3 linked regions of the Drosophila melanogaster genome follow. The protein of the gene in region 3 interacts with the protein of the main gene of each other region in a biochemical or structural test. Each region holds a gene or a part of one and is shown on either strand. Other genes may lie near its edges. The genes, in order: Sh, aPKC and dlg1.

Region 1 (10,698 bases), 6.6 Mb from region 3:
TTCATGTGCCCCCTAGTTAACTGCCATCGATGGCCCGGTGTTTCCTTTATTTTCCCTGTCTCCGGCCAAATGTAAACAAATTTCAATAATGGAAAAAATGCGAGCAAGGAAAACTGTATGTGTGGCAGTGTGTGTGTGTGTGAGTGTGTTTAAGTGTGTGTGTGGGGGTCAGGCGCATGTCTGCAGCAGAAGAAGGAGAGCGATTAAAGCAGCTGTGCGAAGTTCTCGTTTTATTTACATTTATTAATATTTTCGTCTTTTTTCACTCACTTTTATCACTCTGCGACTGTGTCACTGTGTGTGTGTGTGTGTGTGTGTGTGTGTGTGTGGTTGGATGTGTGTGGCTTTGCTCTTGGGAATTGTGGCGTCACCATGGCGTATGCGTAATATTTTGTTTTGTAATTATATGCGCGGCGGGCAAACGAAAATTTGTGTTTAATTAATTAATTGAAGCGCAGCAGCAACAGCAGCAACAGCAGCAGCAGTAGCAACAGCGGAGAAAGCGTTTTTAGTTGACCGCGTGGCGCCAACTTGAGCGCAACTCAACGGCAGCTGCCCCGCAGGAATGGTTATTTTTTTTTTTTAATAGTCTACATATACACCTAATGTATATGCGTTTGTTTTTTTTTTTCTATGGTGCTCAGTCCCAAAAACAGCTGCTTGCCACAGCTGAGTGTGTGAGGGTGCGTGTGTGTGTTTGTGGAAGCGAGATGGGCATATATAAATAGAATTCTTTCCGCCAAACAACAAAACGACCTTGCCGCCAGAAAAACAAAACGGAATGAAACACGCAGCGGCGGCAAGTGATAAATGGGATGCAAGAATCTCAAATAAATGTATCAATTACAGTTTTCTTTTTGTAGTGCCCCCATAAGTAGGCTATACGTTTGCCCCAAAGTGCATTCACTTAACAAATAAATAAATAAACAAACAGCGGCAATTGGCAGCAACATGTGGCCAAAACCGCAATGCCAATGCCACTAAAATGTAATTGTAACAACTGAAAAAACCAAACCGGCAATAAAAACGACAAAACCCACAGCAAATCAACCGCAATCATCGACGACAATAAAATCGACAAATAACAACAATTCAAAGTGAAATGAAATTTTAGTTTAATTAAAGGGTCGCCTAGCTGTGGATCATCTGGGCAATTGCACTTGCTTAATTTAAATATACCGCATTCAATTTCTTAGCCAGTTCATTTCAAGTTTTAGTTTGTTTGTATTAATGGAATTATAATGAATTTATAATCAGCAATGAAATGAAACAAATTCCAAATAAAATCCTTTAATACATGTAAATTAATGCATAGAGTTATTTTTCGTTAAAAGAAATAATTGATCTAAATTTCCGATCAGAATAGAATGATATTAAACATTCGTGATTTTTGTAGCTGCTTTTCGAAGTATACATTTTCTATAATTGTTTGTGCATAGTCAGATCTGCGATGTGCCCAGATCATCGACGAGGCCCCCAAAAACCGATCAAATAGAATGGCAAACCAAAATAATTAAAAAGTGATTAAATAAGTTAACACCAAATGCAAATGATCTGCAAATGGCAAACAAACGAGCAGACGAGCCACAGACAACGCTTCCAGGTCGTGTGCCACCTTACGTTCGTGCAGCAGCAGCAGCGAGTACAGTGAGGCAAAGCTAACAGCGACGCGCGATACGCAACGCGGGATTATCGGCGCCCGAGAGGCCAGGAGCGGCCCACTCGGTGGCCGTCATGCAGCTGCAGGCGGCCGGGGCCCAATTAACCAGCAGCTGCATTTAGCTCACCCATTGAGCACCTAGCAAACACATAGAACACATACAGTCACATACTAGACACGCACACACGCACGTACACGCACACACACGAACACATACAGATCCAATTAATTGGCAAGGATTCAGTGAGCTCAACGAAGCAGACCAGAACTAGAAAACCGAAACAGAAAGCCAAACCGAAACTGTTACAGAAACTGAAACTGAGACCATGCAGATGATACTTGTTGCTGGCGGGTAAGTGAAAAGACAAGTCCCAACAGCCCACAATCCACCCCCCACCACCACCTTCCGACTATCCTATCCAAATCCAAATGCAAATTCAAATCCAAATCCAAATCCAAAGCCAATCCAGAATACGCAACCCTCGATGTGATATATGTGCCTCTGTGTGTGTGTACTACTCGGAACTACTCGTACTAACTTAACTGCAAAATCTGAATTGTGTATGTAACCCATGTGTTTACCTAGCCGGAATAAAAGTTGCCAAAATCATATTCTTTGTATCTATCTTTAGCCGTAAGCCTTGACTTGATCGGTCAGTTCTATATGCCAAATCATTCTGTATAATCATGCATTAATAGTACTCTAAATGCTTATTGTTTCGCCTTATTTGCCATTCGCACTCGTTGCCGCCAAATGCCTTTGCTTGGCACATGTATCTAGAATCTATAGATAATGATAACTCGTAACTTGTACTGTGTATTGTGATCATATGCTGATACATATACATTTAACAATCTGTCTAATCGCTGTTTTTCTTTGTTTCCTATTTGCAATACTCCACGATACCCACGATGACCGAACTCGATATGAACTAATACCATCAACTTCCAGGTAAGTCACAAAATACAATTATCTAAATTGGAAGATTGTGTGGGCTTAATTCTATAAGGATTTTATGGAAGATAATCTAAAATCTTAAACTATTATTGGTAAAACATTAAAACAAGTGTATATATTTCTCTGCAAGCATTAAGTCATTAAATAGCAAATGAAAACATGAGGTGAAATGTCATTTAACATTAAAAATCTAATTTTCTGAACTGAAGAATTATAAGTACTGCAGCGACTCTTAGAAGATTGCTCAAAGAGGCTAAAGTATCCAAAATGTTGACAATAAATCCCAATCATTCAAAACCTATAGAGTTTAAGAAACTAGTAAGTGCAACTGTTAGAACTAAATGAGCTTTTATTTTTAAACCCAAAAGACGTTCTTATTTTAGTTTATTAGAAAGATTATAACATTTTCTGGATAACTTCGTCTCATTAAAAAAAAATATTTCAATAATATTAGCTTTTCTCCCTTCAATAAATTGTAAAATGCTATTTGGTAAAAACTATTAAATTATAGTTAAAATTTCACAAACGGTTGTATTTTACAACCTAACCAACTTATTCTCCAAATGCTTTTGTGTGGCTATAAAAGGTTTGCGTTCCGATAAATTTTCGTCCAATAATTTTTCAACGCAAAACCTGCATTAGCAAGGACACCAAAGCTTAAAGCTTTTCTGATTTTTTGAAAATTGAAGAGCTTAAAAGCTTGACTAAAACACAATTTCTGATTTGAAGAAAACTTTCTGATAGCTTTTAAGCTGGGAAAACAAATAGCTACGTCAACTTTGTTGAAGCAGAAGCCAGAGCTTTAAGCTGCGCTTTATCCAGCTTTCCGTGGCCCTTTTCTCTCGCTTTCCCTTATGTTTTCCTTTCCGAACTTTCCCATGCTTTGTTTGGGCGCGCGTTTGTGTGCGTGAATGTGCCATGTGTTTATTTATTAATAATTGCATTACTCATACGCCACGCCGTCCCTCGCTGGAAGCATGGCGTTCAAGTGCACACGTGACACTTATATGCGTGTGTCTGTGTATTACTTGGGAGCCTTTACATGGCCATGTGTGTGCGTCCGTATGTGTGTGAGTGTGCAGTTATTCGCATTATTATAATCAAGTGGAGCCAACAAAAGGGAAGCGAAGGAATAGGCTTCGGAAGGGGGGAGCATAACGAGCCCGGCGGCGTTTTAAAGCACACATTAATAATAGAGGAGCACACCTTTGCCACCAAAGGGTGGTGGTGATGCGGTGGCGAGTTGGAGGGCATGGGGTTGTGGCTTTTGTCGTTTCTCCTTCGATTCGATTTTCTCTTGCTCCCGTGTGCATGTGAGTGTTAGTGTATGTTTGTGTTTGGTTCATTTACAGTTTTCACCTAGTTTTCGTGTTTCGGTTGTTTTGCCTTCGGCCGCCGCCTCAGCGGCCCCTAGCGGCATTTGCTTTGTTTGACACCGCCACTCATCCCCGCCGACGGGCCCCCATTTCCAGTCCAGCCAGGAGCTAGAGCTCCATCTCCAGCGGACGGTGCCCGAGTGTCGCCAGAGTCGCCAGTGTCGCCAATGTCCCTGTGCCCATGGTTCCCGCTCTTCTTGCTCAGCCATGTTCACCCAGGCTACTCTTTGGCTTTGTTGTTGCGGCTCTGCTTTGTTGTTGGTTTTCATTTTATTCATTTCGTTTCTTTTTTTTTTTTTGGTTTTGTGTTTTTTGGGCCTCCTCTGGTCGCCGTGTTCGTGCCAAGTGGCACTAAAACTATTTGCCTTTTGCCCAGTTTTCGTATGCCTTTGGCCAGCGGGAACAGGAGCGGTACCTGCCACACAGCACAGTACAGAACATCGCACATCACACATAGCACACACTCGGCACACACAGAACACAGCACGCAACACGCAAGAGGCGCCATCGGAGTCGGAGTGCAGCAGTGGAAAACTCCGTATAGCTTTAGATATATAGCTATACGATCCAGTCCGCTGACAAAGCCGGAGCCAATGCAGCAAAGCAAATCGCACGTGCTCGCCTCGGCCCAAAATGTTCGTGGCGAGTTCGTGGCGCCCAACGTGGGGCGTTCGTGCCACCGCATTTGGCTCGGCTCGTAGTTCGGCGGTTCTTCTATCGCCGGACACTTTTGCAGCGCCTCAGTTCGGTTCAGTCGTCGCAGTCGCAGTCACGTCGTCACAACGTAATCGTGCAACGCGTTCCGCGCTTGGCGGCGACTGTCGTCAGTCAGTCAATCAATCAGTCAGTCAGTCAGTCAGTCCGTCAGTCAGTCGGTCAGTCAGTTAGTCAGCCAGCTAGTCAGTTAGCTAGTCATTCATTCAGTCAGTCAATCAGTCAGTGTGTCAATCTGACAATTGGAGTTTCTATCCAGACTTCAATATTTTTTTACCTCGCTCAAAACCCCCCACTCGCACTTTAAATAATAAAAAAAAGCAGGTGGTGCGTGCCGCGTAGCCGCGCGTGATTCTTGTTGTTGTTTTTTTTTTTTCGGTGAATGTGAGTGTATGGTTCTCTTTTTTTAAATGGTAACTCTTGTTGTTATTGTTATTCCGAGCTTGGTGCGTGCCGCAAAATTCGAAACACAAGGAGAAACTCCATTTAAAAAAGGCGTTTAAAACAGCTTAAGAAGCCATTTAAGCACCCTTCCACGCGCCACAGAAAAGGGATGAGAAGAGAAAAATACACCAGGACATGATCAGAGGCTCCAGGGGAATCCTGGAGTCCCTCCAACTGTATCGCCCTATCTCCGACTGTTTCTGTGTTTGTTTACCTTAATTAATGCACTGGCAAGCGGCAAATGGACCTGGACACTGCCAACATAATTTGCCTAGGGGGCGCCACTCGAATCTACACTGCTGCAGCCTCCGGTGGAATGATGATTCTGATGGTAGTGGTGGTGGTAGGGGATTGTCCACGCCAACTTAGCCCACTGCAGGTCGAGTTAATTAATATTTCACTCTAGTTAAGGGGGAGAAAGTGGAAAATGGTAGGGATTGGTCGGGTGAAGTAGGTTGAAGTAGGGGTAAGAGGCACCAGTGAAGTTTTGCTTATATAAGCAACTTCAATTCCTATTGCCTTGTGCCATTTCCATTCCCATTCCCATTCCCACTCCCATTGCCATTTCCATTTCAGTGCAATTCGAGTGGCCCAAAAGAGCCAGAAGGAGCAAAAGCTGTAGCAGTAGCCTAAAGAGAAACTGGCAAATTGCTCATACGACGCATTGGCGCCGTCAAAAACTGAACGAGCCACAAAAGCGGAATGAGGAGTGGAATGAGCAGCCGAAGCTGAAAGAAAAACAAGTTGACCCAATTTACAATTGTAAATCAAACTTAAAATCACAGCCAAAGTTAAACAAAAATAGAATGGTGGTCAGTAGCAAGAAGGGCAGGCATGTTTAATTTACAATAAGACAGCCTCAAGGATCGAATTCAGAGATCAATTGAATGCCTCGAAATTAAACTGGGCAGTGGCCTTAATATTTGACCACAAATGAAGGCAACGTATAAATTTTGTATGTCAAAAACAAAAACCCAGAAACAGGAACTGCATTGATTGGATTAATGGCTTATGTTTCGTTGCTTCGACCGTTTTCTTTCCATTGTCATAGAGAGCATATATAAATAATAAATACACGGGCTTGCAACACAATTGTGGGTGAAAGCAGGCTTTTCCAGCAATTCGAGCACCTCAGTATGCAGTGAAAACTAAACAGATGAACGCAAACATTGGAGTAATTATGTTGGGGATTTTGAAATGCATTCATTTTGTGGTTTCATCTTTCAGCAGAGATGAGAGGTTTACCATAACTTTGCCATCCGTATTGTTTGGCAAGTCACTTGGATATCTAGGAAAACTTTGGGCCTTCCGCCCTTCGCTTTCCACCAACCACCCAGTTTTCCCATACAAATTAGTTTGGATTTGGATTCTCGCTCTGTTCATTAATTTGTCTAAGAGCAGCTGAGGTTTTTCCCCGTATTACAACTTGAGCACTTGGGCATGTGAGGTTATTATTCAGCCTCGTCTTTGTATTTTTGTTTAAGCTTCTTTTGTTTTCGCTCCTCCTATTGTTTTCCTCTCTATGTTCCCCGCTTTTTTTACGCCTCATGTTCTCATTGTATTTGCGATTAAATTCAAGTTTGACTCGCACACGCCAAAATTAATTGGGCACTTGAAAAGTTGAACAAGTCGATCGAAAGGGGGGCGAATGGTTGCAGGGGCTAGATGTGCCGTGACGGCTCGACAGCTCAGCCTTCTGTTAACCCTTATCCACTCAGTGGAAAGTGGCAAGGGGAAGGAGAATGGGTGGGAAACCCCTTTGTAATGTTCTAGGCAACTGATTTATTTTGATTGAACTTTGCATGCAAGCAGCTGAGGCAACAGGAAGAACTCCTGAGCTTTCGAGCAACAACTGGCAAGTGAAACATCATAAAACAAAGCCAGTTTGTGGTTGAATACGAATACGAGCACAGCCGCAGGCTTGGTCTTGTTGATGGGTTGGGGGGGGGGGTCTGGTTTTATGGGGGGGTTACTACTAGATTGAGGGGATCGGAGGCCATTCGCACGCACATTGCCTGGTTTTTAGGCGGCAAGGCTTAGGCTTAGCTCCAGCTCAATCGTAAATGCGTCGAGTGTGGTTCGTTCTTCTCCGCACTCTTAACCCCTTTGTGCCAAAGCTGCTCGCCAGTGTGCCAGTGTGTCTGTGTGCGTGTGTGTGTGCAGGCTAAGTGGTTATGGCAACAACAGCGCTAATAAATCCCCTCTGCACACGCCTCTGGTGCTCGCTAAGCTCTCCTAATGCCACTGAGGCAACTCGGCTTTGTCTTTCGAGTTGAATTTGCCCAGTATATGGCGCATATATCGAGTGCCTTTAAAGTGGTCGTCTGTCTTCGCAAAAACATCAGCAGCTTCCCTGATTGAATGGTGGCGAATTTTTATTCTTGCCACAACTCGATATATCTGCCAACTGTTTTGCTCCATTTTGTCTTTCCTGCCACGCTTGGCCATTTAGTTTTGGCCCAATTGCTAACTTACATATGTATATATTTATGCGCATATGTTTGCGGTCGGGCATGAACACACACACTACAAGAAAATTTGGCCACCAAAAATATGCACAGAGTCGTATTTTATATATGCTATATACTTGGTGACTTTATGCCTCATATATATATATATATGTATGTAGTATATGTCTTCCGCAACTATAAAACATTTAATGTTGCAGTGAGACTTTCTGATTTCCTTTACAAAGTTTTTAAAACTACTTTAGGGGCTTATAGAAAAAAAAATGGCAAATACTTGCTTTAGTATGCACGTTGATTTTATTTTACTAAAATGTAACGAAATGTTCCAATTAAATGAGCCTTTAGATAGTTGACCTTTGGCAATCCCGAACTTAAAATTGCCAGGGCTTTGGGTGATTTGTGTTAACCTGAATTAGTTCTCAGTGTGCCATCTATCTATGGATATTGTAAATTATTCGCCTGGATCCGGAATCTCTTGCCAGTGGATTTTGGTACTCCGGCCAGAGGCTGTGCAGCTCGGCTCCGAGAAATGTGAAATGTGAATTTCGAATGGCAAATGGCAAATGGGGAATGTAGGAAGTAGAACGGAGAACGGAGAAAGGAGAAAGGAGCACAGAGAACGGAGAAAGTTACGCACTGCGGCGATGGTTTTTGGGCTTTTAATATGCTGTCGAGAGGTGGAAATATGTGTGTGTATGTATGGATACACGGCTGTGTGTGCGTGTAGATTGCACGTGCGCTGCGTGATTTTAATTTGAAACAAACATAGCCAGAGCACCCAAACACACACCAATTTTGCGTTCCTTTTTTTTAAGGTTTTAGTTTCTTCTCTACTCTTTTTTTATATTTAATTTTGTTCATTTTTTTTGTGGCCCCGGCTTTTCACAGTTTTATTTGGGTTTTCCGTTTTCGCTCGGTTCTCATTCCTATGTTTTTTTTTGCCGTTTTATTTGTTTTTTTTTTTTTTTGGTAATTCTTTTTACGACTCAACAAGCAGCAGAAGTATAACAAACCAAAAAGGAAGAATACAAACCAAAAAAAAAAAAAAATAAATAAAGAGAAAACAAATAGGGCGGGTGGCACAGAGAGAACATTTATTGATCTGCGGCCGCTTGAAGCCAATTTGAAGGTCAAGCATACGCACCGTGGTACCTCCGAGATGGGGCCATCTTCGCAGTGAACGAGTTTTGCAGTGTTACATAAAAATATGCAAGCGGCAACCAATTTCCCTACACCCCACCCCATTCGCCACCCCGCTCGTGACGTCATGGTAAATTATTTTCAAATTTGCGCCCAAAGGCCAAACAAGAAGCAGCTGTGCTGCACAAAGCGGAAACGGAAGTAGCAGCAAGGCGACAGGAGGCCACAGCACGGCAAACATAGCATACTTTTCAGGGCTCTGTGGGTGAAAGGCCGTAAGGCTGTACGAAGTAAGGATGTGCGGATTGGAGGACTGAAGGCTCCCAGGCTTGGAGCCTGTAAAGCAGCGACGACTGCAGTTTGGCTCCCGCTGCTCCGCTTGTTGTTCCGTGTCAAACATTTTCATCCACTTGTTCGCATTATCCTGCCAGACAGCGCACAGCGGGCGAGGGCATCAAAAGATGCCGCCAGCAGCAGTAGCAGCAGCAGCACAACCAGTGGCAAAAATTGTTACAATTGCCGTGGCGCATGATGGTTACGGGGGCTGAAAGCCAAATCCGTGCGAGCCAAACGGGCGAGAGAAAAATGAAAAGAATAAAATGGCAATAAACAGGCAGGAAAATGGGCCTGATAATGCGAGAGCTATATACACTTTGCATGCCATGCTATGCGATTGAAGCTATTAAAATTCAAGTAGTTCACTTTTCCTTTACAAAATCCTTGTCCAACCAGCTATGCAAATGGGTTCTTAATAATACGTCATTAGTTCATTGATTCAATCTAAGGCAAGAGATTAATTGACCCTTGTTAGATGTCCCATCTAAGTCGATAAAAACTTCAAAATAATCTCATTTCAAAGGTGTAATTATTTTGATAAAATCAGCTCAGCTGCCTTTTAAATTCCACGTTTCGTTTCGTTTCCTCGCTTCAAACTGCGAAAAAATTGATATACCTACAAACTCATAACCAACGATTGAATAGAATTTCCTATTGACTGCACTCTGAAGTTTATCGTTAGCTTCCACAGAGGTGGAGCTAACACTGGGATTATCCCCTACTTGCAGGGTATTCCCATCAAGCCAAAAGGCTTTTCTTGCCAACCCACCCCCCCCCTTCCAGCCAGCAGGCCACGCCCAACCCCACCGCCCCTTTCCAAGCCCCAGCCCTCGTGAAAATTCTTTGCGAAATCATGCAGAAAATCGCTAAAACCCAACAAGCAACTGAAGCTAACTGAAGACGGTGGAAAGCACGCACATTTTGCTCGTTTTCCTCGTTGCTTTTTCGCTTTTGTTGCTGCTGGCTGGGTGCAAAAAAATTTCATTAATGCTTAAATAGAATTTCGAATCGCATTTCGAAATCGATTAGCATTTGTCCGTTTGCTTGAGAAGTCAGGAAGGCACTGGATATGCATTTTAATTATGCATCAGGAGCCAGGCAATCGCCACTGCATTTGGACGCCTTCAATCAGGCTGTCAAATGAAAATGAAGGTAGAACTCGTTTTCCCCCGGCCACTAAGGCAGTATGAAATTAATTTCAGTCACATAAAACAGAGATGATTGCATGAATTCAAAAGAATATTCTGTTTGGCATTTCAAGAGTACGAGTACAATTGGCATCGCTCATCCGCCAGGTAATCCCAGTGAAATATTTTTAAGCTCTCTGCACTAAAGCATGCAAATAATGAAATAGCTAAAACGAATTCAAGACTTTTAAGTCAAGACTAAGTATTCAGGAAATATGAAAATGAGGAATATATACACACAGATTCACTTCTGGCGAAGTGCTCAACGTTTTAGATTCCAGCTCAAGATCTCGGTGCCGCTAAGTGATTTTCTCATGGTGGGCGCTTGTATAAATACTTGAGTGCCAAATTAGGCAAAAATAAATAAACAATTGGCCAAGAAAAAGAGAGAGAGAGAGAGGGGGGTAGAGAGAGA
Region 2 (10,698 bases), on a different chromosome or scaffold from region 3:
AGCGTTGCTTGACTAAGTGCCACCAATATTTCTACTTAGCATAAACCCCCCTCTTAAGTGGAGCGTATATAAAATTGGATTCAGTGGGGACTGAGTCGCGGGGAGAGCGGGTGGTCGGAGAAAGTAAATCGCGAAGGAAAGCGGAACAAGGTCCCAGTTGCAATTACAGTTACATGGCGCACCAAACTATGCAATGCAAAGTTTCAAAGCCAAACGACAGGCGGCGTATCCCCCACTCCGCCCACTTTGCTGATCTCGCAGTTCGTAATGATTGATTAAAAGAAAAACTCAGACACACACAAGGATATGGCCGTGAGAAGGGCGTTGGGCGATGGAAGAGGGGTTATGGGGATAGGGAAGGTGGGCGTTTGGCTATGGGCGTGGCCGGTTGCAGACGCCGCAGAAACCACACCTAAAAAAAATATATAAATTGTGTAATAATGGGAAAGACAAGAGAGAAACGAGCGGGGAAACCGAGAGAAATGCAGGCCGAACAGCTGACAACTCTGTCAGGACACCCACACACACACACAGACACACACAAGAAACAGTTGCTTGGAGAAATTGGTAACACACACAGAGACACACGGCTGCGACAATCACAAACAATTTAACCCAAGTCAAACGAGCGCACAAGTTGCTGCAAATTGACAAAGGCGTGAAAGGCAGCCAAGAGCGAGCGAAAATTATTGAGAAGGTGGGAGAGAAAGCGCCAGAGAAGGTAAGGAAAATCCAGAGAGAGAGAGAAAATCGGTCGACGCGCGCAGGGAAATTTGCTCGCAATCGCCCTTTTAAGTATGCAATCTTCTGTTGCCATTCCTACATTTCAGCCATGTACAGTGAAGACTCTGTGCAGTAAACTCGAAGGTTTTTATTCAAAAGATGAGATGGGTAATTATAGAAACATAAAAATATATATTTTATGTTATGAAAAGTAATGCTAATAGAAGTTAGTATCCCAAACTATTATAATGTGATTAAACACTTTCTTTCTCTTGAGCGTACACTGTATTCCAGTGAAAGGCGAACCCAGGGCAAAAGCCCACCCATCGATGCAGTCAAGTGTAAACAGAAAATTTTCTTCAAGTGTATTGGTAGGTCACATCGCAATCGCTTGTTGTTTAGACAATTGAAATTAAGCACTCCACTTTCATGCATAATTCGCATGATTAACGAGGGTCGAAGTGGGTCGAAAAAGGGGGTGGCGAGGTCCTTAGGTGGACAGCATCCACTTGACACAAGAGCCTTGTCGTGACAAGGCAAGCAGATCCCTTTGTTTGGCACTCATTTTCTCGGCATTTTCTTTGTTTTCCACGCTATCTGCTGATGATGCAGTCTCTGGTGACTGAATGGTGTGCACAAAAAGAGGATCTGATGCATTTTCGAATTAAATTTAGCCAGTCCCCTTCAACTCATCCCGTTTTCCCTAGCCCCATTCCCCTCTTTTGCACTGGCACTATGCTTCAGCGTTTGCTAAATATAAACACTCCGCCGGCATTGTTTTCTCTGCAATTGGAGCATGAATATTGGTTGCCTGCTTGTTTGTCCAGGATGGGAACAGAGCATCCCAAACAACCCAACAGTCCAGCCACCTACACTAAAGCCTTCCTGGCTCCATCCATAGAAACCTCTTTTGTTGGACTAACCAAAGTCCTAAAATCCCACAGCTCTAAGCTAGATTAAAGCTGATTTACAAACAAGAAAATTATTTAACAAGCTTAAAGTACACGCTTTGTTTTAAAGTTTTTAAGCCGATTAGTTAATTACTGCATAGGGAAAGTGCCCACAATAGATGTCTTTAAATCCTATTCTATTTATACTTCTTGATTTCAATTTGTTACATGATTAAGTTAAGTTTTCTGTTTTTTGTTTTCGGTAATTTAATATATTTTCACTGCATTGCATGGCCTAATAAAAATGCTGCCATAAATGTTTAATATCAATAAAGCTGCGTTTTTAAAGCAAAAAGCTATTGATTAGATATTCCCAATAGCTATTGTTTATTATTTACGGCCTCATTCAAGAATTTCAATGGCCTAAATAAGCACACGACTGCTTACATCAGAAACCCATCAAATTTGGATATTTAGCCCGCCACGCCCACGAATTATTGACCATTCCAGCGCCTCAATCATCCGCCCACTCTTGAACTTTGGCAAAGAAGCGTTTGGGGAGATGGGTTTCCTGTGAAACCATAACGATAAACCTGAGCAGGCGATGTTCGCCAAAAGGACTGCGGCACCATCTTTGGGCCAACAGATACCAGATACTCCGGACCAGAGGCATCAATAGTTAAACATCAATTTGGCTTTTCCGAGTGACGTCAAGCGGGGCGAGTTGCCACCTGCCGCCCACCTCGACCTCCAGTGGATATAAAATTTCACACAGCTTAAAAAAGAGAAAAGCGGCAAAATGGAAATGCCATAAAGTTCCCACTTACAGAAAGAATGCCCATCTGCGAAATGTACCTTAAAACGTGAATAAAGACGCTAGTTTATTCTATAAATATTAACAACTTCATGGATGGATACAAATTATATTAAAACAGAGCTAAACAGATAGTAATCGAGCTTCAGGGATCTAGAAAAATTTGACACTGTTGTGTATGTGCAACTTAAACAAATTTAAATAAAATGTAAGTATTGAGACTCGTAAAGCTTAAAGTTTAAGCATAAGGTCCTCAAAGTTGTACATTTTACTGTATGATTAATAATATAATATAATTATAGCTTTTTCTCTCTGCATCAACGATATGATATAGGCATCCGTAATGAGGCATATACATATGACCAGCAACCAATTCCGCCCACATCCGTACATTTGCACTGATCCCCTAACAATACCGAAATGGGCTTTCTTGTTTGCTGAACTAACAATAATTTCATTAAGCCCAATGGCATCATTAAAATTTGCCCAACAATCATAATGGGGCCAGCTAGCAAGCGAACTGGGTACCGAATCTGCCAGAGGCTGCATAGGCAAACCTAAAATAAAAGAAAAGGAACACAGACCAAAAACAGAACCCCAGGGTACCCAAAAAAGCAGTGGAAATTTGCTGATTTAACTTTGGCAAAAGGAGACGCACACACACCTGGTTCGAGTGAAAGCCTTCGGGCCAAAAAGAAACGAACAAGTTTAAATGGCAGGGCGACAGCTTGGCCAGCAAAACGCTTTCCGCAAAGAATGAATAAAAAGAAATTGTTTCGCCCTGCAGCTTCTTACTAGCCCACTGACTCATATTATATACATATGTATATGTACATAAATATATATAGTATATGTGCATATATGCCTTACATATATGTATGTATGCATACGAAATGGATCCATCTCGTCTATATAGTATAGTCGGTTTGGGCCAAGTTTGGGCAACCAGACGGTCGCCGAGGTGCAAGAAGCGCTTGATGAAGTGCAAATGCCTGAGGTCAAGTTTAGGGTGGGGATTCTCGCACACCATCACACACTCGCACACACACACACACACTGCCTCATTTTGCGTCATATGTGTTTGCAAGTGTGTGTGAGTGTGCGAGTGTGTGTGGTTTTGTTTGCCAGTGTCTGGCGCACAGCAGCCAAAAAATTTGGGAAAAAAGTGAACAGCGTGATGCAGAAAAAGTGTAAGGGAACCCACAAAAATGGAAATCAATTCTTTGATTTTTTTATCGTGGTTGCTCCCCTTTGTCTAAGTGCAAAATGATAGAGGCATAGGAAATGGTATGTTTTTAAAGCGTTCTAGAACTTTAATTGTATTGCACTGAGGTATTTAAAATATAAAAGAAAAATGCTTAGTGTGTGGGATTTCACCTGCGTTTTTGTCTGCGTTTTGTTTTTTACGTTTTTATACTTTAAGAAAGTGAATAAAAGCAAGGATTTTATTAATAGAAACTAAAAAACCATATTTATATTCAATTTTTTTTTTAACAAGAATGAATTATTATTATTAATACTTTATAAAGGGGTAAATTATAATCTTTCAAAATATATTGATTTTGCGAGATACGGTCATAAATTCCATCACATCTCTGGGGTAACTCTTTCATAAAGTTTTTACTTCATTAGCAGCACTAAAAAACGTTCATTAAAGAAACATTCACAAAATTATGTTAATCATTCCACGTCCATTGCCTTTCCACCTCCCCATTTTCCGACCCCTTCTCTCAGCGGAAAATTGTATGGCAACTAATCAGAAATGTACGACAACTTCGGCAGAACAGTCAAAAAATATTGCACAGGGCCAATTGATTTTTTCCGCAAGATTTTCGTGACTTGCCGAAGAGCGAGTGGAAATGTTTAAGAAAATAATTATATGGAATTATGTTATTCACTGATTTGTACTCCTTTTCCGACATACAACTTCGATTTTTCCGCTTTCTTTTGTTAATTCACAGCGCAGAAACTCGATTTGCCGTTTAGCTGTGCAAAATCTTGTATATTTGTATACATATATATGTATATGTATATATATATCTATAATTATGTATTTGTTTGTAAGGCCCGGGGAGTTATATCTTCGAATCGAAATCCGCACGGCACTTCCACACAGGCGAGCGGCCAACGCGCGAGTGAAATGCCGATGCAGAGAAGTATGCTAGGGAAATTTTTCGGGGAGAATGTAGCGGAAAGCCATGGAGAAAGCTATTGAGAGCGAGTCTCGGCGAATGGAAAAAGTAAAGAGCAAGAGCGAAAAAAGAAACTAGATAATTTGAGAAAAAATGTTTTGTTCTTTTAGTAGTTTCTTAGTAGACGTTTTTAATGAATGACTATAAAAAAATTATTATTAAAAAAAATATTTTATAACAATTCATTTTAGGTAAGCTATTTTGCTATGACTGTCTCGAAAATGAAGAAATGAAAAATATAATTTTTAAAAACATTTTTTATTCCAACACGTAAACAGAGTAAGAGTAAAGTAAGAATTCTATAATCTGAAATTACAATTCCGGATCCGTTTCGATGGATGAAGGTGATCCAAATGATCCGGAACTGAGTGGGGCAGATGTTACTAAAATTCAGTCCTCGTCCAAGGATTGGAAAAAGAAAATTTCCCTTCCCCGCTCTTTCTAGCTCCAAACAGCCTGTCGTGGCCTTGTGAATATACTTCACTTTTGGAGAGAGAGCGAAAATAAAAGCCGCAGACCGGCGCTTTAGCATTGCCATCTTAGATTCAATGGATGGCAATACCTTTCTCTTTGGCTCAGCTGTTTTTTGTGGCATCTGGGGAAATGCTCTCTCGCTCTCTCTCTCTCTCTGTCCTTCCATCTATTCTCTGTTGGCCATCGCTGTCTCGCTCTTGGGTAATGGCATCTTGTGTATCGACCTTATGAGCTGCAAAAAAAGTTCTTCGGACCTGGACAAAAGTTTTTCATGTACATATGCGTATGTGTGTGAGTGTGTGCCGGACAGCGTTGCCATATTGCAGGCGCATAAATTATACCGTTAGCTTACAGATTCTAACTTTTTGTATTGCTTTGTTTTTGGGAGAGCTGCAGAGGTTTTTGCTGGGCGGAGATGAAGCCGGAAGGTGAAGCGAAGTTCTACGGAAACACACTTTCCAACATAAGAAAAAATTAAAAAAAAAAAACGAAACCAAAAAACAAGAGAAGCAACAACAGAGAAGTCAAAACACGGGCTTGTATAAATGCAAAACACACTCACCAACAGCCATTTACTAATCAACACAACAACAATAAGCACACAAACAGAAAACATGTGCGGCATACAAACACACAGACAGGACATCCTAACATATGCAGGAGTGCGTGTAACGGTAACGTAATACCTTGACAATGTCCCTCTCCCGTACGCACACACACACAGTCGCAGGAAAACAGACGCACACAGAATACTTTTAATACATTTTAAGCCGCATTTTTTCACACGTGGCCACATAACACAAGAATAAAAACAAGAAAGAATGAGACTGTCAAGTGTTGCGACAGAAAAGCTACCCACTACCAGGCAATTGAATATTTAAGTAGCATAATTTTTGGGATATGTCCTGAAAAATAGATGAATAAAGAACTTGGAGTACGCTTGTTTTTAACGAATACAGCATACCCCTTGAAAAGTACCGGGTATGCAACAACAACAACCAACATGTTGTCCTTACACACTGTTCTTTTTTGTCATTCGGAGATATGTATGTACATATGTGAAGATGTGGACTGGCCACAAAATATCAGGAAGCCTGCTCCCCAGAACAAAAACAAAGCCGCATAAAAAGGGTAGCGGAAACTGTAACACCCTCTCCATCAAAACCCCACACCAGCCACGAACTTTGTTTAGTGCGACTGGCAGTTATCATATCTGCTGGGCCGTTAGTTGGCTTTTTTCTTGTTTTACATATCGGTGTTCGGAAAAACAGAATGACCACAGGTATGAAATGGTTAAGGATATATGGATAACTCGGAAAAATTTGAATAAGAACTACACTTTGCAAGGGATATTAATACTCAATAAAATTAAATGGTAAAAACAATTTTGGGTACTAAGTATCAGTTTAAGTATCTTACCCAATAAAACTAAAATGTCCTACATTCGTAGCCAAGAAGAGTGTATTCCTTGTTTATTATGCTTTAACCTCAGGCCCTCGTTTTTTTAGTAATTTACTGTATAAAAGGGTTTTGTGTTTGTCATTCGCCAAACGAGTGTGGTAAGTGAAACCTTTTTGTTGTTGCGGCAGGCATAATTAAGCACAAAACTCGCATCAGAGTGTGCATGAGTGAGATCGCCGAAAACCGCACAACAGGAAAATTAAAATTCCAAAAAAAGCTGGCGAAAACTTAAACCCACACGAAGCAAACAATTTAATTATAATGAATTATAAATGATGCCGTCGAGCCAAGATCCAAGCAGAATTTATATGCAAATAAGTCGGAGGTAGGCAAGAGTGAACAAACGTAGAAGAACGCTGACTGCCTAAGGCAATTGCCACAAGACTCAAGCTTTTCGAGCATGCGAGTGTTCGTACGGGTTAATTAATATTTTATGTTATTAACTCGAGTGGATGACGCTGCCTTTTGGCAGCCTGCGAAGGCAGAAAGGCAACCGGAAAACTCGCGGGGAAAACTCAAGTTTATTGAGCCAACAAGACGAGCTCACATTGTTTAATCAGGCTTAAATGTGCCTGCTTAAGTTATGGAAGCGAAGACGAAATGTGTGGCCGATTGGTTAATTAATTACTTGCTGCCTACCTTGCGGCGGCAGCAGTAAATCATTTAAAAACTTGGAGAATTGAAAATAAAAAGAAGAGTAATTCTGTGAATGCAGATACTGTATCTTTTGCTAGATAACCAGTAGGCTTACTTTGGTTTAATAGTGCTTTCCGCTCACATTAGTTTACTGACCTTATTAGATAAGTTTATCGTTTTCAGTTTTAGAAGCGAACTTAAATTACAATCGAAATTCCTTAACCAATAATAACCAATAACTCGACTTTCTTTTATTTATTACTCTAACGTATCTTTGCAATTTTAAATTTTGAGCAGACTTACCATGAATGACTAACTGGGAATCGAAGTTCATTTCGTAAAGTCGTATGGCCTCGTCCAATTCCATTTTCGTTGATATGGTGCAGGGATCGTTTTCCTCATCTACCCATTTGATGGTAAATGGCTAAACAAAACGCTCAATGAATTACACTTCTGTAACGTGCAGTACTTTATATATATTTTACCTGATCCAGAGGAAATCGACAAATGTTGCGAATCTCGTAGCACAGCTCCTCGTATGAGATATTCTTGTTGATGGTGGTAATGATAATCTGGCCATTGTAGGCGGTCTTTACCGTTATACTATTGGGCGTATTGGCCATGTTCATACTGGCGCTATTCAAGCTGACGCTGCTGCCGTCGTTCAGAATTTGCGAGGGCATTTTCTGCATTTGCTAGCTGGGTAAAATATTTTGATATCACGTAACACACAGAGACAAACAGATTGATAACAGAAAACTGCAAAAATAAGAGTAAATAGATACGAGTTAAAAACGAAGCGGTTTACAGTAAAATAAATTAAAAAGACATTTTACAATTACAAATTAAGCTAAAAGTAAGTTTTATTTTCTAGTTTAAATAAAAAAATATATTTTAATAAACTATTAGTGGCGAAATATATTTATATTTATACATTGACTGAACTTTTTTAAGGATTTGTTATTTTGTAGAAGCTTAACTGTAAAGTGTCGTAGCATTATCTTCAGAATCTGATAGATAAACGAACTTATGAATTTCTATTGCTCTCTCTGTTATCGTTTTCTCTTTGCCCACGAATTTGAAATCCCGCCCAAAACCAAATGTCAACTTTGACATTTGAGGCACACACACACATACGCAGACGCCAAACGAACTGCATGCCACAGGTAGTTGTTGTTGCTTGCGCTGCACCAAATGCGTAGACGTTGATAAAACGAATAAGACAAAACAAACGCGAGTGAATCATGCAAAACGCCCACAAAACAATAAAAGAAGAAAAGTAAGTGGAATTAGCACGCCAAAGCGAGTGTGCAAATTAGTTTATTTTTACTCCTCGCCTCTCCTTCTTTCACCGCTTACTTGGCATCTCAGTACTTAAGTATTTGAGCGTAATTAATGCCGTACATTGACCAAGGTAACTGTTAAAAGTACCCAGTTGGCCGCAACAACAATAGTGCAACAAATGAGCGAGAAAGAGAGAGAGTGGAGGCAGGGCATCGAGAGCGAGCAGGAGAGTCGCCAACCTGTTTTAACTCATTAGCATTTTTCAATTAAGACGCCGCTTTTTTAACATTAACACTTTTAATAAGCTTAAGCTTAGTAATCGACTCACACTGGTTCCTTTAGTTTATTTAACCACAAAAAGTATGCACAAAACGCCGCACAAATATAACACAGGGGACAAATCAAACAGCACGAAACATTTAAATTAAAGCCAATCAGTGCGCCACATACATTTTAATTAAGACACTGGCACTCGCACTCGTTTAATTAATTGTTATGGCTAAAACGAATTAAAACTAACATTGCTATTTCTCCGTTTATTTCGTTGTGGAAGGAGAGCACAAAGCGGAGAACGCGAAGTGACAGCACAGAAAATACCGACAAGGGAGTGCTGCAAGTGCCTCAATAATAACATGTTTACCAACACTGCTAGGGGTCGTTTTTAAATAATTGGTATTTTTGAGCTTCCACACCGGTTTCAGGGGTGGAAAACAATTATGACCGGTGATAAATGAAAAAGTTGTACGTACAACACTATTTAAAGCAAAAATACAAAAGACATTATTTTTTGATGATTATAACATCAACTTCAAAACACAAACTGAGCAGATGACCCAAAAATACTAAAACATCGATACGTCAATACTTTGTGTGCAATCGATGTTTTATTAATGAGGTATTTTCCAACAGCCACGCTGCGATCACACTAAGTTTTGTTTTCGTTTTTCCGCTGTTCGGACGTTTGTAGCGGAAACCCGTTCTTTTGTCGTTAGATTCAAAAACGAAATATATCACAAGTACGGATATCACAACAAAGTAAAGTGATTATAATTACAAAGTAAGAAAGCAGTGCTTAATATATCTGAGAAAATAAAAAAAATAAATAAAACTCAACAAATTGCCACAAAAGAAAATGGCGGCTCAGCAAATAAAAAAGAGCACTCGCGACCACAACAACTGAGCAAGAAATTCAGCTTAAAAGAAACCAACAAAAAAAAAAGCGTCAACATTTTCGTCTGCCTGAAATTAATCTGGTTTTTATGTTTTACTCGCGCGTCGTAGACATAAAATAAAGACAACAAACAGTGAGTTTTGGTGCGAGTGGATGTGTCTGCGTGCGTTTGATGCCGTTTGTTAGTCTCTTGTTTTTGTGGAAAAAACCATAAAAAACGTGAAATTCATTAAGCTACAAAAGCAACAATTACGAGCGTTTTACATTGTTTACATTTTGTGTGCCAGCTTTCGTTACGCTTGTGATTTATGTGATTTGTCGAACGGTAAGAGGAGGAGCGGAGAGAACTTAGCCAAAAGCCTGGAAAATAGTAATATTATCTGCTAACGTAAGTTTATAATATGTACACTTAATTACGTTTACACTTAAATGGGTCTTGGTGTTTTTGGTACATTTCGGACAGGCGGCAACTCTTTTTTGTGTTTTTATTTTGATGCGGCCTTCGTCCTGCGCTGCCTGCGTCGACGTCGGCGTCGCCATCTGTCACTTATGAGGGTTGCCAGCTGTTTCGATGCGCCTTGTATTCAATGCGGCATCTTTAGCATCTGCAGGAAATTGGGTTTTCAACAAAAAAATAGAGGAAACAAAAGACAATCAGGAGGAGGGGTACTCACGACTGCAGCTGCCGCTGTTTAGGCTTATGTAATTAATAAACGAACACGTGTCTGGCATTGCGAACGACACGTGACAACTCTGGTCGTGAGTAGTGGGAGTGTAATAAAACTTAAAGTCTTGTTCTTTATTGTTTTCCTTTTTTTTTATTAATTCTCCGTTTGCATAATTGTCCCTTGCCATAATTAAAATCGAGACCAGCGCTCTACGTAAATTTTTTCTGCTCTTTGGCTGTTATAGCTCAGATTGCGCCATAAAACTCATATAAATCAATAGAAAGCGCAGCAGTACACACTTACACACACACAGCCGGAAAAACCATAACTCACTTGCCATAATAAAACGAGTGAGAGCGAGATAGCTGGAGATGTAGAGAGAGTC
Region 3 (10,698 bases):
GAGTCATCCAATAATGTCAATTCATAGAATTCTTGTATATCTGCAATTGAAGGAAATACATAATTAATAAGAGTATAATAATTATAATTCTTAAAACTATTTTCTTATATTATTCGCTGTTTTGTTCTAGTTTAAGGAGCAATCATGGTTCAGCAGTAAACATTATTTCAGCTTTCAGAAAAAACTTTCCACTTTTAAATGTATAAATATATTTATATAATATTGTATACTTCTGTGAGACAGGTATCGCTACAAAGATGTTTTCCATTCTACATTTGAAGTATATTCAATTCTTGTTTCTATTCTACATTTTTATAATATTCAATTTTAGTTTTAAAAACATCTTATGAGCAGGTTTCTGTCGTTTCAGAATGACACGAGAATGTCATACATTTTTACAAGCAAAAAAAAACTAAATTTAATATGTATTTAATATATGCTATCAATATATAATCAATAGACTTGTATTGCAATATACAAATACTTCAGCTCTGCTCTTTCTATCTACTTCATAAATATTATTTAATTTTTCGTCATTGATGACGCGTTTTCTGCAAATTCTGCCATGTTTGCGTGTAGATAAAAAGTTTTCTTCCAATACTCAAATTCTTTCAATTTCAATTCTGAAAGAAAAGACAACGAGTTAGACAATTTGGCCATTTAATCGGAATACAAATTTGCTTACCTCACACATGATTGTTCCTTCCGAGAAGAAACTCTATTCAAATGGGCAGCTTATCGACCGTTTTTAAGGCTGTTGTTTGTATTTTTTTCGATATTTCCGAATCGAACTTGCTTTTGATTGCCTACTCAGCGGAAAAGGAAAAAATCAAGCTCAAATTCGAGCGAGAGCTGCTGAGTAAATAACTCCTTCACACCAGAACGGATTCTTGGATTGTGAAAACAAACAGGGAATAAATAACAAAAAAAAAGGGGCCACTGCGGTTAATAAAGTTGAACACATTGAATAACGACAACAAGCAACTAAAGTGCAATCGAACGAATAAACAAACGGATCGAAAACTTTGTTGGCATTCTGCAGTTAACTTGTGGTGCGAAAGTACACTGAGAAAAATGCAACAACCAACCGCCGAGTGATCGGAAAAATCAAGTTAAACAACTTGATGCATAAGTTAAATAACATTTAGATGTTATCATTCTTTAAAGACAAATCAGTAAATATTGAATTCAAAAATTTTTCAATGCTTACATACATTTTTAAAATCAAGTGTCGCCTTAATTGTTTCATAGATATTACATTATTTAATCCTCCACTAAACCAGCCAGCTTCTTTAAATTCACATTGTCCGTCGGTGTGAAATGGGCTTTAATTGTTGGCTTAGTGCAGTGCCATAGGAGGCATCGAGCAGCTTTTGCTCGGGAAGCGGAAATCAGAAACTGTCAGAATGCATCTCGAATGCATACATTTCAATGCAAACTGACGCCGCCACTGACAGCGGAAGGGAATGGGCGTTGGGGGTGTGGCTGTGCTTATACGAACACACAATATACCCATATGCTGCTGCCAATATGTTTCGCTTCAACAGCAGTCAAGTGGCCCAAATGGGGGAAACTAAAATCCGACTTTTCAGGGAGAAAAAAAAAGAAGCAAAATTGAAACGAAATCCATGGCGCCCATTTAATTTCCTGCGCCCCAAAACAGGGCAGCCCCAAAAAGAGCAAGCGAGACAGCTGGTCGGATAGAACGAGAGAGAGAGAGAGAGAGAGCACGTAATTCCATGGGGCATTGCTGGGCCACCAATATATTGCATGGAAAAGTACGCGCAGTCATTGAAATGTGTGTACATAAAGTACAGCTCACTGGGAAACTAAAGGTTTCCCGGGGGAACTGTGCAAGGCAATTTGAAACTAAATATTTCAAATTTGCAAAGCTGAAAAGAAACACCCTACTAATATTAATCAAGCAGACGAAACTTTCGAAAACGTTTTCGAACATTATTACAAGCTTCAGATACCTAAAAAAATATATGTTGGCCCTACGATTAAACAAGCAGCTTAGCATATATACAAGAAGTTGCTTAAAATTTGTAAATCTTCAATGGAGAATTGCCTGTATTTTATCGAGAGACCACTGTACCACGTTATGCAATGGATTCGGCCACTTGAACTCAAAATGAGTTATCGAATGCTTTAGAATGCTTTCCCGAAAATGCCCTTTTAAGCATTGTTATTTTTTTCATTCCTCCATTATTTGTGTGCCTTCAATTTGTGTTCTGCATGTTTTTCATCGGTATTTGTGTTTGTTTTATTTTTTATTGCGGCCACATTTTTTAGCTGGCCTCAGCTGAATGCCAATGCCGTTGAAAAAGAGATGCTAAACTTCAGGTTACACCATCTCTCTCTATCTTCATCTCGCTGTGGGGAATTCCAGGAAATCGATAAGACCCCTCAAAAGTATCCACAATATATTTGCATACATATGTATGTATCATTTACAATAGCAGGGGATAATAATAGCAGCGATTTCAATCACAATTTATGTAACTTAAAGTAGCAAATAACTTATTGACTTATAGTAAGCTGCGTATAGATTTAAAAATTAATATCTTATGCTTGTTACAGTTTATCTCACGTATAGTGGTTTTATTCGCTTGACCGCAATCGTATCTCACTCGTAAACATATACACTAGTGTATGTATGTAAATGTAAGTGTGCTGCAGATGATTCCAATTCTAGGCCAATTAAATTGGGATTTCGCCCGCACATGGCTCTTCATGACCTTTTGCCCCCCCCCGTCCCGCACACAACCCCTGGCGCATCCTTATCTCTATCCTTCGCTTCAACTTGAGTGTCAATTGTGGTGCCTGTGCAACACTGAGAACCAAGCCAAAAACTATGGCAAAAAAAAATCAAACTCTGATGCCCAAACATAGTTTTTCCAACGATATTACTCATACGCAGTGTTATTCGGTTGCACAGTAGTAGTGCTTTCAAACGCAGTTGAAATGTTTTCAGTGTTATTACAGCATAACAGATTCAATGCAAATATGTTCAACAAAAGCGGGAAAGAGACGGAAAGAGACTGGAATCTAACCTCAAGTTTGATACTATACCCAAAACACACACACACACACATACGTTTCGGGTGTTTGGGATGCGGCTAATACCTTGTTAATTATTTCACACGCACACACATGCATACACCACCTCAAATTCCCTTGGGTGGACCTTAACTGTGGGTTGATTTCAAGGCTGTGAACTCTTTTTATCGTAATACATGTGACCCATATCTATCATAAGAAAAATCAAGTACTGGCATCGTGTTTAAAAACTCTCTTCTTCAATTTAGTTTAGCTTTCCTTCTAAACTAGCAGAGCGACGTGACTGATCATGTTCTGTCGAAGTGCGACCCTGCGAGTTTTTAAGTTAAGGTCCACCCTTGTGTTTGGCCATACAAAAGCTCCTGTTTTCTAACGTGTCACGTGTTTGGCTTGTTTGCATTTGAGTTTGTGTGTGCTTGTTAGCCGTTTAACATTTCTGACACGCCAAGCGCAGCCACTGAAACTGTAACGATAACGGGAGAAGAGGAAGCACCAGCGGGATACGCCGAACAAGAGGAATAGGGACAAGAAGAACCAAAACAATGGGAAGAATGGAAAGAGGTAGGGGGAGAGGACCCAAGCGAAACGAAACGAAAAGGATTATGCAACTGCCACTGACAGCGGGCAACACAATTTGCACCCAGGGGTCCAATAGAAAGGGACGGGGTCACAGAGCGAGACGCGGAGCGAGCGGGAGAGAGCCATAGGGGACTAGAATGAGATGGAGCACGGCGGTAGAGCAGAACTTTTGCAAATTATACAACAGGCAAGACCCACAAAACAGACAACTGCAAACCAACCGCCCGTCTCGAAATGGATGGACATATGGACAGAGAGAGATGAGAGGCGGATACGTTGCTGAAAAAAAGAAAAGATGGGCGAGCAAAAAAAAAAGTGTACTGCAAACAGTGCTGCCAAAAATCCAAAAGTAGCTAAGAGCTAATCCAGACAAAACTGTCAAATGAGAAAAACAAGCTGTCAAATCTTGGGCAAAAATGTCTCAATAAATGGGAACGGCTTAAAAAACTGCTTAAATATACAATGATAAGGCAACAATGGCAGGGAAATTAACTTTTCTTAATAGGAAAGTATTTAGTTATAGTGATAATTAGGTTCATCTTAAGCTTGAGACTATAGGTAATATGAGGGAAACCAACAAGTTGCTAGTGAAAATCAATGGCTCCTTCGCCATATGCCACCAAAATGCACTCCATGATGCAACTGGAGCACTAATCAGGCCGTCTATCGACCCTTTTGAGTAACCAGAGTCGGTAAAGAAAAAAAAAACAAGCTGAATTAGCCGCATTACTATGGGACGCTTGCTGTTTCCATTGCGCTGCGCTGCTTGGTCTATTTGACCCAAATCCTATGCAATATTATCGTTTTGCTGTCGCTGTTGCTGCAATTCCCTTTGTTGCTACTTTGTGCTCACTGCTTGCTTGTCAAGTGAAAATAATTTGCAACGCGAGGGGAGGGACAAGAAAATCGATAGGCGATAGGCAATGGACGATAGACAACTGCACAGATAAGAACTACTTTTCAAGGATCTTTCTTTCCGGCTCATCAACTACTTTCTAACAATCTTGGCACAAAGTTCGCAACTTTGTTTGCGTTTAAAGTTTCAGAATCAATAGACGATGATGATGAGCTTGGTTAAGGCTCTTGCTTATAACGAACTTGTGAAAAACTTATTTAGCACACTGACCTATATAATAAAGTATTTCACAAAAATGCACTTATCTAGCGGCAATTATTTAGATATTTTTAAAGGCAAAAACTTACGAGCGACGCGAATAGCGTCTAAGATATACATATAGGATATTTTCATCGATTTAATCGATACATTATCGATTACTCACCTAACAGCGCTTGAAACAAGCGAGATTTAAATATGCGTATAACGCGTTCGATTGCAATACGCAGCGCCCGATCCTGCGGCTCCGAAAGTCTCGCGTGGTAGTCCTCGAGCAGCTCGAGAGCCCGATGAGCTTCTGAAATATATAGAGAAAAGAATATGGTTAGTACAAATGATCTTCGATTGTTTTATTATGAAATCAACCCAAAAGACCAAGGGATTCTGCCTGCCCATTTTTCCCCACTGGATTAGTGCCTACTCTGTATGTCCGCAATGCGCTCCTCCTCATCCTGACTGATCGCCAGACCCGCCTGGCCGAAGATCGTTGACCAGAAGCCCCTCTCGGAACCCTGTTCCGAACCACTTTCCCCAGCCGCATCCTGTACGTGGGATCTCTGCTTGGGCTTTGGCTTCGCCTTGCTCTTGGCCTTCAACTGCAGCTCCGATTGCGATTTCTCGAGACTTTCCCGCTCGAGAGTCTCGATCATGGTGCGAAATCGGCTCAGTTCCATGCGCAAACCCTCGGCACTGTGGCGACTCGACGAAGAGACGGAGAGTCCGGAAATGCCGGAGAGAAGGCGACAACGGGCTGCGCCCGAGGATGACGACGACGGACCCTCCCACTCGTCGCGCGAAGCATCGCTCTCGGACTTCTCAAAGTAGCCAGACTCCACATCCGGTGTTCGGACCATCGAAGTGGAGGACAGCATGTGTCCGTACTCGAGAAGATCCTGGGCGGAATAGAAGCATTCAACGGACTCGCGGACACTATCGCGCAGGGATGTTGGACACTTCGGAGGCTCGGGATCCGGTTCGGTTACGGTCTCCATTTGGTGTTCCATCACCTCCAGTTGCGAATCCCCATCCATATCGCTAGCTTTGGCAGCTACTGCCACCGGATTGGTATCATCGATTTCTTGGCGCACTTCTATGGCTTCCGCCGACGGCTGTACCAAGACCACCAAAGGTGGCTGGTCTTGGTCGCAGCGAATCTGTGCCTTCTTCTGCGGCAGCAGGCACTCCTCCTCCTCGGGCTCCTCCTCATCGTCCGCCGGAGAGGAATCCTCCGCCGGTTCATCATCGTCGTGGAATGTCTTGTCATCGCTACTGAGCAGTCCCTCGTTGGGATCGCTGCTCTTCTCCCGCTCCGAGTCCGTATCCGAATCCATTACCAGGACCAGCCAAGAAGACACCTCTCTTCGCGCCCAAGTGCCGCACTCAACTGGCTAGACTTTTGAGCTCTATTATGGTTCTATAGTTTGGTGGCTGCTACCGCCGATAAATCAATAAAGATTGACGCTTTTTAAACATTTTTCACCGCTTGTCGGACGCCAGTTATTAACGCTTTTTTTTTTTTGTTTTTTTGTTTCCATGAAGGGTGTGTGCCTAAAATTCCCCATCCTAAATGCTTTAACTTGAAAATCTGAATAGCAACGAAGTTGTGTGTTGCTGCGCATAGTTTGATGTCCCCATGCGAAGAGGTCAGGGGTCAAGTGCCATACCGTCGCTGGCTTGTCATTCGTGCCGCGTTTGCCAAAAAATTAAACACATAATTTATTATTATAATCGAGTCGCATTATGGTCCCAAAACACACGCACACACACACACATACAGAGCACACAAACCAAACTATACATACTCGTATCTAAATGAACATTGTATCTGTGGCCGCAGTTTGATGTCCTCAGCACGCGTCAAACGCCGACGTTGACCTTCACTGACCATTTGCGAGGCTGCTGGCAGCGCTTTTCCCCGGTTTTCCCATTTTCCGTCTGCTGCGGCTCCTCTCTTTCCCCCTCCCCCTTCCCCCTTCCGCACCATTTCATTTCATCTCTTCTGTTGGCCATTTGAGTTGCCCAAATATGATTTGTATGTGACATAATCAAATAAAATTCTTTGTCTGCATTAATTTAGCTGGTTTTTTATGTATTTTTTTTTTTTTTTTTTGTTGCATAGCTTCCAATGCACAGTTGGATACATTGTTTGTTTGGCCAAAAGTGCCATCTCGTGTGTAATTGGAAGCAGCTTTGCTGGCTAACTTTGCGCAGCACGTAAAAGTTAAATGATCTACTAAAATTACAATTGAAAAACTAATGCCAACTTTCTATATACTATATGGTGCTTAAAACTTTCACCAGCAAATCAATGCAGTTTTGCATAGACATAGCTTTTTTAATAGGTTCTAACTTTATTTCACAATAGTTAAGGTTATTTTTCTAAATTTGTTATGCATAGAATTATGTAAAATGTGATCTTAAACCATTGTGTTAAGTTTTAAACTACTTTTTCAATTGCTGAAAACTGGCAAACAGTTTTCACTGTCCACCATTCATAAGGTCCATTCAATTGAATGGATTTCCACGTAATGCCAAAGACAGATATGTAGAACAGAAAATAAAAAAAGAAGAAGAAGGAGGGAAAGGTGGGAAAGGTGGGCAGTGAATAAAAGTGCAATTTTTCGCTTACCTTGCTTTTTCACTGGCATTCTGTGAGCGGTGTTTCTGCTACTATTTATGGTGGTGCTGGTGGAAATGGCAGCGGAAATGGCGGTGGTGCAGCAGCTTTGATTGTGGTTCAACGCCGCCGAACTGGGAAAAGCGTGGGTCGCAATTTTGAGAATTTACTGGAGTCGCTTTCGAGTGGAAATGTGCGGAAAAATCGCTTTGGCTTTTCCTTGAGTTCTCCTCCTTTTAGTTTCGCCAGCACATCTGTATATATATCTGATATATATGTATATATATATATATACTATTCGATGGTGTTTTATGTACAAATATTGTTTTGTTAGATACTTTGGCTTTCGAACAAAGTTCGAGATTTGTTGTTTTTTTTTTAATTTTGCGCTTTCAGTTTGCTAGTTTATTTTTTAATTTCTTTATATATTTTACTTTTCGTTTTCTTGGGGCAGCTTTGTGGTTACATTGACGTGTGCGTTTTCTCTCGATTTCTTTGCGATTTTCACATTTCACAGCTCAATGGCTCCTCACATTCACATTCGGTTCTATAGCATTTATGTTGCACTTTATATTGCAATGCGACTATCATCGAAATGTCGTACTTTCCTCGTCACAACACAACAACACCAACACAAAAAAAAACTCAGATCGTTTATTTGCTTACTTCGCGTTCACTTGATTTGATTCTATATTGCATTCACCATCTGAAAGTCGAAAGAAAAACAAGTGGAGAAGGTTTGAGGAACACGGCTCCTTTGGATTTTTTCTCAACGGCACCCATTTTGTTGTATAATCATAAAAACAAAAAAAAAAAAAACAAAAATTACGAAAATTGCAGACACACACGGGCGCAGTTGAATGCGCTTCCGATTGCAACAAAATGGGTACAGTGGTAACTCGCTGCGTGGTATTTCGTATCTAACTTCTATTGATCAAATATTAATAGCATATTCTTCAATATGCAAATATTTTTATGAGAATTTTAGCAGAATTGTAAAGTATATTCAATGTTTCAGCATCAGTTAAATATGATGCTACACTGAAAATATTCCTATAATATTATAAAACACCGTTGTCCATTATCGAGTGACCACTGTAGCTGACTCTTTTTTTCAGACACTCATATTTGGGAAATAAGAAAAATTGAATAGCGTCGCAGCGATGTCGAAATTCTCGTCTGCCCGCTTGTTTCGCGATCGCCATTGTCGAGCTGATTCCGATTTTATTCACATATTTTCGCCAGTCTGTGTGAGTTGGCTGCTTTTTGCTATTTCAGCTAAATGGTTTTTTATTTCTGCCATGCAGTTGATCTAGTTTCACTTGAAACAAAAAAAAAATGAACAAAAAAGAACTCATAAACAAGGCAAGAACCGAATACAGTGAATGCTGAGAGTTGAATTTCGCAGTGCCTTTGGCTTGATAACTTGTTACATTGGCCAGGTCGAAAGACCAAAATTCCGCACACCCGCACCGCACACAGACACACGTCCAACTGAGGCAATAACGGTGCTCTGCTTTTGGCCCTCAATCGCCAGCCTCTCGCCCCCTCTCCTCCTCTCACCCATCCTCTCAGCTGGCCGCCACCTCTCTCTCTCTCTCTCACTCTCTCTCTCTCTCTTCGACCGAGAATCCCGAGCGATTCTCGTCGAGCGCCGCTCGCCGGACCAACAATTAGTGCCTGCACATATACTCGTACACCGGATGCCATGCCAGATACCAGATGCTATATGGCTATATGGCCACGTATCTTTCTATCTGTCTACCTTTATACCATTCTATCTTTCTACCATTATATCTTTCTATCATTCAAACTATCTACATTTCTATCTTTATATCTTTCTATATTTCTATCTTTCTATCTATTTATCCTTATATATATTTATCGTTCTACCTTTCTATCTGTTTATCTTTCTACCATTCTAGCTTTCTAACTATCTATATTTCTAACTTTATATCTTTATATCTTTATATCTTTCCATCTTTCCATCTTTATATCTATCTATATATCTAGCCAATGGAATGGTATATGGTATATATTAGTACAAATTTATTATTTTGCCTTTGGTTTGCTATAAGGAGTATTGGCTTTTAGATAAAATGTTTATATTTCCATAATTTCCAAACAAACATGTGCAATACTTCGCTCTACTGCCCTACCAAGCGATATCAACAAACTCTCTGGCCAATTTGTTTATAGATCAAATAAATAAGCCAAACACACAATTCAGATTCGCTTAGGGTAGTCCCCCGACATTGGAAATTAACAAGAAACCAAATCATAATAAAGTTTATGTGAGCGATGAGCGATAAAATAAACATTTGAATGATCTGAAACCAGATCATTCACACGTCATAAAAAAAGAGGTAAATATTCAAAAAAAGGAAGATCTAAAAGTTCAAATCAGTTGAAATGTACGTAACTATGCAATTTCCTTCGACAACAAATGATTGACTGTTGAAAGTTATAAAATAAATTGCCATAAATATCGGGGAAATGTCCGAACCGACAATTCTAACTGCCGTGGAGTCCATTATTTTGACAGGCAAGTCGAGATCCTCGTGCATTTTGGTTCTCTACTAGAGGGAAAGCCATCGGGCAAAAGGCACTTTGATTAATGTGGTGGACGTCAGTGACGCGAATTACTTAAAAAACAATTGAACAACTAGACGGGTCAATACACAGCGAACCCGGAAGGCCAGACGAAGTTTGGGGCGCGGAAGGAAGTGACAGCGGGGGAGGCGGAAAAACTGAGCTAACGACTGGAAACTAGGAAACGCGCATCGGCAAAGACAGCAACAACAACGAGAATAATAATAATAATAATAATAACAGCAACAGCAGCAACAACCACGACGGCTGTGGGGTTCAATCACCTTTGGGAATTACGTACCGGTTATTATGGTTATTATTATTATTATCCTGCCCGCAGTTTGCCACAATCGTACTTTGGCCTACACACAAACACGAGAGTAGCGAAATGAAATGGATACTTCGAGTTGATAATCAAAAGGATATGTGCATATATTATATGAAACTGAATAATATAATACTACACTTTAGTTCTGCATCTATGGTTTTCGAATTCTTTCGTTAGATCCCATTTATTTTGCTACATCCTAAGCAGCCTAAAGTCAAGGTTATTTTTGAATTTTTGCCCTATTTTCTTGCGGTGTACCTACGCTCTGACTGATTTAGTGAGTGAGTTGGATTTCTATACGTTTAATTTATGTGCGTCATTTGTTTCCTATTTTTAATGTCTTTCGGCCGCTTGAAGTACTGTTTTTTTTTTTGTATTTTTTTTTCTTTTTAAGGCGCACACACG

What was found.
Region 1: the proteins of dlg1 (region 3) and Sh form a complex in vitro, tested with the Drosophila melanogaster proteins (one study listed by BioGRID).
Region 2: of the proteins of dlg1 (region 3) and aPKC, one has a biochemical effect on the other in vitro, tested with the Drosophila melanogaster proteins (one study listed by BioGRID).

What each region holds. Positions count from the first base shown.
Region 1 is NC_004354.4:17,984,728-17,995,425, reverse strand, and holds the start of Sh (shaker), read left to right. Parts: upstream 1-4,746; 5' UTR 4,747-5,092; intron 5,093-10,698.
Region 2 is NT_033778.4:14,953,893-14,964,590, forward strand, and holds the start of aPKC (atypical protein kinase C), read right to left. Parts: upstream 4,565-10,698; 5' UTR 4,352-4,564; intron 1-4,351. UniProt on the Drosophila melanogaster protein: Serine/threonine protein kinase which is required for apico-basal cell polarity in the germ line as well as in epithelial and neural precursor cells, for epithelial planar cell polarity and for cell proliferation.
Region 3 is NC_004354.4:11,371,198-11,381,895, reverse strand, and holds the start of dlg1 (discs large 1), read right to left. Parts: upstream 6,134-10,698; 5' UTR 6,088-6,133; coding exon 5,178-6,087; intron 5,055-5,177; coding exon 4,923-5,054; intron 41-4,922; coding exon 1-40. UniProt on the Drosophila melanogaster protein: During embryonic development, some isoforms are essential for proper neuronal differentiation and organization. Required for cell polarity; maintenance of apicobasal polarity.